Callithrix jacchus: one gene and its partner. The main gene of each other region encodes a partner of the protein of the gene in region 2 in a complex. Links are inferred from orthologs where the notes say so. Each region holds a gene or a part of one and is shown on either strand. Other genes may lie near its edges.

What was found. The genes of interacting proteins can lie anywhere in the genome.
Region 1: SF3B5 (region 2) and CRNKL1 share a complex: the UniProt entries of both Homo sapiens proteins name them as parts of the minor spliceosome. The link is inferred for Callithrix jacchus from reciprocal best matches to the Homo sapiens genes SF3B5 and CRNKL1.

Annotation. Positions count from the first base shown.
Region 1 is NC_133506.1:27,036,734-27,041,000, reverse strand, and holds the start of CRNKL1 (crooked neck-like protein 1), read left to right. Parts: upstream 1-1,435; 5' UTR 1,436-1,585; coding exon 1,586-1,636; intron 1,637-3,300; coding exon 3,301-3,453; intron 3,454-4,267. UniProt on the Homo sapiens protein: Involved in pre-mRNA splicing process. As a component of the minor spliceosome, involved in the splicing of U12-type introns in pre-mRNAs.
Region 2 is NC_133505.1:150,851,846-150,854,436, reverse strand, and holds SF3B5 (splicing factor 3B subunit 5), read left to right. Parts: upstream 1-1,267; 5' UTR 1,268-1,387; coding exon 1,388-1,648; 3' UTR 1,649-2,003; downstream 2,004-2,591. Other genes in the region: uncharacterized protein LOC118153004, read right to left, coding at 1,169-1,267. UniProt on the Homo sapiens protein: Component of the 17S U2 SnRNP complex of the spliceosome, a large ribonucleoprotein complex that removes introns from transcribed pre-mRNAs.

The DNA.
Region 1 (4,267 bases), on a different chromosome or scaffold from region 2:
AGTATTCTAACACGTTTGTACGTTTGAGCTAACGAGGATTAATGTTTTGTTTGGTAAATCAATTGTTTACAGTTAGACATTTAAGAAAAATCACTTAAATATCTTTTTATTTTAACAGATATTTATTTTGTTAGGTGGCTTTATGAAAGTGATATAAAATCTCTAAATTTTGAAAAGTGAGATAAAATATCTAAATAATATGGTTAATAGAGTTATGGCAAATATATTGATGTTGTTTATAACTGACTGTAGTTTTAGAAATCTACATAAATCTTTTTTGAAAGCATTATCTGCAATATATAATCTGCATTATGTATCACTACATCCGTAAATATATATTTTGGCCAAACACCAAAAAGAGCCTTTTGCAACTGTGGAAATTATCCTAACAAATGTGCTGCCAAGTCATGTCATTATACATTTGTCCAAACTCATAGAATATACAACATCAAGAGTAAACCCTAACATAAACTACAAACTTTGAATGATAATGATGTGCCAGTGTAGGTTAATGGTTGTAACAAATGTACCTCTCCGGAGGAGAATGTCATTCAGAGTAGGAGGCTGTTGGAGGGGGAAGGAAGTACAATTACTGACAGTAGGAAGCTGTTGGAGGGGGGAAACCTCTGTACCTTCTACTCAATTTTGCTGTGAACCTAAAACTTCTCTAAAAGTTGTCTATTAAAAAAAATTATCTTAACCTTGGCTTAATTTTTAAGTTTTTGAGGGTAGGTTATTATAATAGCTAACGTTTAATGAGCACTTATCTTTAATCCTAGTGAAACAGATGTTACTATCCTTGTTTTATAGTTGAGGACATTGAGGCTAAGAAAATGTAATTAAGGCACACACAGAATTTAAACATGCTTCTTATCTCAAGACTGAGTTGTTTTCCAGTTACTCTATGTATTTTCATTTTTTTCCTAATATCTGACTTCGAAATATCTTACGTTATTTTTAATTCCAAACCTTAGAGTCAATTATTAGGGCACCTTAGAGTTCATTATTTGGACATAACTATCCAGAAACCAGAAACGAGGGGGCGTGGACCCCACAGACTACAAGCCCTAAAATGAAATGAAGCGCCAGAAAGCCTAAAGGGCGGCAGCTCGCCCCTTGGCATGCTGGGGATGTAGTTTTCTCGCTCTCCCTTCTTCCCCGCCCTCGAGCACCCAGATTGGAGCTTCGTTCCTACTCCCTTGCAGGGCGCCACGGCTCGAAAGAGCCACTAGTCCTCGCCTGGTCATCCCAGTTCCGGAGGCTGACCTGGGGATGCGCCCTTGACGCCCTGAACCGCAGGACCTGCGTCGCTGCCAGGCAGGCCGGCGCTACGAACCTCACTCGCAGCTCCAGGACGCCGCACTCTACGCGCTGCTGCAGGAGTACGCGCAGCCTGGTCACCGTGGAAACGGAGCCGCTCCGTCACGGCGCATGCGAGAGGTCAAAAGTCATCCTAGTGAGTTCCGCTTCCGGTTCCGGGATCTTGTTTGTTGTCAGAAAAGATTCGTGGTTTCGGTGAGCTCTCAGAGTAGATTTCTAGCGTCCGTGCGTGGGGCCAGGTGTCCCGAGGTCCGCTGCTGCAGACATGGCGGCCTCTACTGCGGCCGGGAAACAGCGGATTCCCAAAGTGGCCAAGGTAGGGGATCGCGACGGGCCTTGTGGCAGGTGGCCTAGGAGAGGGGCTTGCCTTAGCCCTGGGGATGCCCCGGGCGGAAGAGAGTGTTCCTACCGGGGAGAAGGCTCACCCTGAGAGATGGAGACGAAGGATCCGCTGGTGGTGGGGCGTGGGCTCTTGTCATAGCGGAGCGCGACCTGCGTTGGCGTGGCCTTCGTTCTGGGGTGTTTGTGCAGTTGGGAGGAGTGGGGTGGATCAGTGAAGACTTATTGCGCCAAGCACTGCACTGGGCGCTGGGGAGCTACGCTCGGACGCGAAGCACAACAATACCCAAAACACGAGCTTGTGTATAAAGACGACCTTGCTAGATGTTGCTGATGCAAAGTAGAATATGCCATGGGCGTGAATAAGTGGGGCGTATGAGGGGGTCCTGAAAGTAAGTTTTGCAGAGGAAATGACCTTTAAGCTGAGACTTGAAGGCGGAATAGGAGTTAGCCCAGCTGACAGCGGAAGGCGAGAGTAGACGGAGTTGTATGGTATCATAAGTTCATTAAAGGGTAGGTTCACTATCTGGTGTTTCCCTCGATAGCTGATACTTACCAAGTGCTTAACATGGGGCAGGCTTTCTCTCAAGCCTTCACAGATACCCTCCCTCAAGTCTTTCTTGAGCCCAGATGACTCTGTTGAACTGGACCTTTACATAACCATTTATCTGACTCGCAGAGGTAATGCATATAGAGCAAGTAACACTGTGTCTGGCACTTAGTGCTTATTAAATATGAGCTATCACCATTATCATCATTACTTCACACGTGGCATTAAGTCTTTTATAATTCAATTACATAAACTTTTATTGGGCATCACTGCTCCAATGGAAATATAATGCACGCCACATATCTCATATCTACATTAAAAAGTAAAAAACAAAAAAGGTGATATTAGTTTTAATCATAGATATTTTATTTGGCCTAATGTATCCAAAATATTATTTCAATATTAATCAGTATAAAAAAATGTAATGAGGTAGTTTATTCTTTTTTTCATACTCCATCTTCAAAACCAGAGTGTATTTTACATCTACAGTCCACCCCATTTTGTACTAACCACATGTGACTCACAGCTACTGTGCTGGGCAGCACAGCTCTAAGCTACATTAGACTGTAAGCTTCTAAGACCTCAGGAAGCTTACAGTCTAATGATGGGAAGTTATTGAATTTTGCCTTGGACTTGAAGTGCCATGAAAAACCAAACTCAATTACCCACCAGGGGCATTAGCTAAGTTGAAGAATTCTGTAAATGCAGGTTGTAATGCTGTTAATAAGATGTGGTACACATCTTGATAAAACAAAACCTCTGGTCAGAATTTTACCTAGACTGCCTCAAAGTTTATTATTATACTCATCTAAAAGAGAAAGCTCGCTATTGTTTTTGCGACCTTTTTCAGTTGAGACTTTTGCCTATGGCTTTGTAGTAGACACCATGAATAACAAGGAAAACATAGTATTTTTTTCTTTTCTGTCTCATGGAGGAATGGGAACATGTCATACAAAGAGGGTATCTTGTGATAATACTAATGAAGTTCACATCCTAAAACAATGTATCCTAAAGGATGTAACATAAAACTGGTTTCTTAAACCCGTGTGAAGAGCATCTGCTAAAAATAGAAATGTTTTCTTTCTTAAAAGGTGAAAAACAAAGCCCCAGCTGAGGTACAGATAACTGCTGAACAGCTCTTAAGAGAGGCTAAAGAAAGAGAACTTGAGCTTCTTCCACCTCCACCTCAACAAAAGATCACAGATGAAGAAGAATTAAATGATTATAAACTAAGGAAAAGGAAGGTCAGTCGGTGTGATATCTTTCAGTCCACTAATTGTTAAGAAAGTATTGGTAGGCTGGGCATGGTGTTGCACGCCTGTAGTCCCAGCTACTTGGGAGGCTTAGGCAGGAGAATCATTTGAACCCGGGAGGTGGTGGTTGCAGTGAGCTGAGAACACGCCACTGCACTCCAGCCTGGTAACAGACCAAGACTCCGTCTCCAAAAAAAAGAATTTCTGTAGGGCAAGATGAGGCTAGTGTTTATAGCACATGAATAATGTACTTCTGGTTACCAGATAACAGCATTTTTCTGAACTATACAAAATATGCTATGAATTGTCTGGTTAAAGTACAAAGAAATTGAATCTGCATAATTTTTGGTGCTGAATCAAACATGGGTGGAAGTTTAGCAGGTGGAACAACTGGAACCAGCAGAGGGTATGCTTAGTAAAACTGCACTGTTGTGTACTTCTGCCTATACCACCTTCTGTGTTAAGAATTGAGATCTGGCTAGGCATGGTGGCTCACACCTGTAATCCCAGGACTTTGTGAGGCCAAAGTCCTGGCCTCAGCGGACAACCTGAGGTCAGGAGTTGGAGACCAGCCTAGTCAACATGGTAGAACCCCATCTCTACCAAAATTACAAAAAAATTTAGCCAGTTATGATGGCAGATGCCTGTAATCCCAGCTACTCAGGAGGCTGAGATATGAGAATCACTGAAACCTGCGAGGCAGAGGCTGCAGTGAGATTAAATCACACCACTGCACTCCAGCCTGCGCGACAGAGAGAGACTTCATCACAAAAAAACAAGGAATTGAGATCTGAGAAAGGACCAT
Region 2 (2,591 bases):
ATATAATTTTTAAAGAGGATCTCGTTTTTTTCAGGTAGCCTCTATCCATATGAGGAAGTTATTAAACTAAAAATTAGGATATAAAGCAATAATAAGGAAGAGATGGATAATCTGCAAAGAGGAAGAAGAATTTACATCTGTCTGGAGCAGCCAGAGAAAATTCTAGGGAGATGCATTTGAGCTGCCTTTAAGGCAGATGCGTTCACCAAGGGAACAGACATTCCAAGTAGAGGGAACAGCTTGCACAAGGAACTGGGGAATGGGCACAACAGGTAACATGGAGAAGTACAGTTGTCCCTCAGTATCTGTGAGTGATTGGTTCCAGGACTCCATGGATACCAAAACTAGAAGATACTCAAGTCCCTGATATAAAATGGCTTGTATTTGCATATACACACATCCTCCCGTATAGTTTTTCTCTAGATTATTTAACAATACCCAATACAATGTAAATACTATGTAAATGGTTGTTATATTGTTTAGGGTATAATAACCTTTAAAAGTCTACACTTCGGTACACACTAATTTTTTTCCCAAATATTTTCAGTCGGGTTGGTTGAATTCACAAAACCCACTGAATGGAAGGGCCAAGTAGGGTGCCGTGAGGCATTGGAGGGAGGATATCAAAATAACTGGCTAGAGAGGAAGGAGGAACTTGAGGTGGAGCCGGAATGTGAGGAAATGGGTACTGTACTTGCTCACCAAACACCCTGGTTAGAGCTGAAATAACTCTTTGATGCTACAAACTCCTAAGCGACATAGTTGGGACCAGAACTCGCGCCTACTGACTTCTGGGTAATCCATCCCGGGTAGTGAAGGGACTGCCGTGCCGCCACGATAGGTCCGAAATACATAAGAGTTTATTTTCGGGGTTGCTCGTAGTCCACTCCTATTTGGGTTTCCCATTTCCCATCAGCCCCAAGCCAACCACGGATGCTTCCCGCCTCGCAGACAACACCCTCCACTAGGCACCCATACCGCTTTTAAAAGGCGACCAGAAGTTCCGGAGGCTGGCGTGCACGAACTCCAAAGACCAAGACCACAAGTCCCAGCATGCAACGCTCCCGGTTGAAAAGGGCCTCTCATAGCCACTAAGCGGACCATCATGCAACGCTCTATGAAGGGGCACGGCTCACTACAGGGGCGGCACACTTGTAGCGTCGCATACCTCGGCAACTCCAATTCCGTGACTGATGTGCTTCCGCTTCCGCTTCCGCCTCTGAGCCCTATGAGCGAGAGTTACACTACTTAGTCTCAGTGACGCCATTCTTCTGCGACCGCGTGGGCCCGGAGGTGCTGTGCGGTGTCCTCACTCCCGCTTGAAACGGTAGAGCGGTGACTTGTTTCCTGCGGCCTCTGACCTCGGAGCGAAGGGGAAAGCGGCGAGATGACGGACCGCTACACCATCCACAGCCAGCTGGAGCACTTGCAGTCCAAGTACATCGGCACGGGCCACGCCGACACCACCAAGTGGGAGTGGCTGGTGAACCAACACCGCGACTCGTACTGCTCCTACATGGGCCACTTCGACCTTCTCAACTACTTCGCCATTGCGGAGAATGAGAGCAAAGCGCGAGTCCGCTTCAACTTGATGGAGAAGATGCTGCAGCCTTGTGGACCGCCAGCCGACAAGCCCGAGGAGAACTGAGACTGCCTTACCAACGCCGTGCGCGGCGCCTCTCCCAGCGTTCCTCCCGTTTGCCAAATCCCTCGAGTATTCCTGCCTTCAAGGGACCGGCTCTCTCCATGGCTCCTGCGTCCCGCGCTTTCTGCGTATAGAAGTGCTTGCCGGGGAAGTCCCTCCTGACCCGCCTTCATGTGGACACTTTGGGACAGCATTGAGAGACCAGCAGGACCCCTGAGAACTGTGCTGGCGGAGAGGTCCTGCAGCCGGCAAGTCTCTGAGAAGAGGGCGTGGCGCTGGAGTGAGATGGGATTTGGCGTCTCGTTTTTGCCTAATTGATTGTCATTGGCTTTTTCCATAAAGTTTAGAAATCGTTCAGTCTCTTGGTGTGAACTTCCTGTGTTAGGGTGGAGGGCTCCGGAAAGAGCTCCAGGCACCGAGGTTCGCGAGAGTCCGAGTGGGAAATGGGTTTGGGTGAGGGTGCGAATGCCAGTGTCTGTGGCCAGGCACTTAGATATGCCTGTATACCTTTATAGTGTTCCCCGACTGCCACTTCCTCCAAGAGCTTTATTTTCAGTCTCACAATGACTTCAGTTTTGAAGTTTGCGGTTAATGTATCCCATCTTTTTCTTCTGTTTTAAAAATCTTTGCTGTCATTGTTTTCCCTAGCCTCTTTAAATTACATCCTTTCTTTTTCCTGGGAATTTGAAACCATGTCTCCAGAAATGACAAGATGGCAAGCGAGTTCATCCATTCTACATTCAACAAATATTTGTTGAGCTCTATGTGACAGGCATTTTCCCATGTTCTTGGGTATACATTAATGCTGGTGGTGGAGAAAGGTCAAACACTGTAGGCATAGCAAGCAAATGTTAGAAGGTGGTGCTGGGAGGGGAGAATTATGTATATGGTGTGGGTGGGGTAGCTGGTAGGGTTGTAATCTTAAATATGATGCACAAGTTATTGA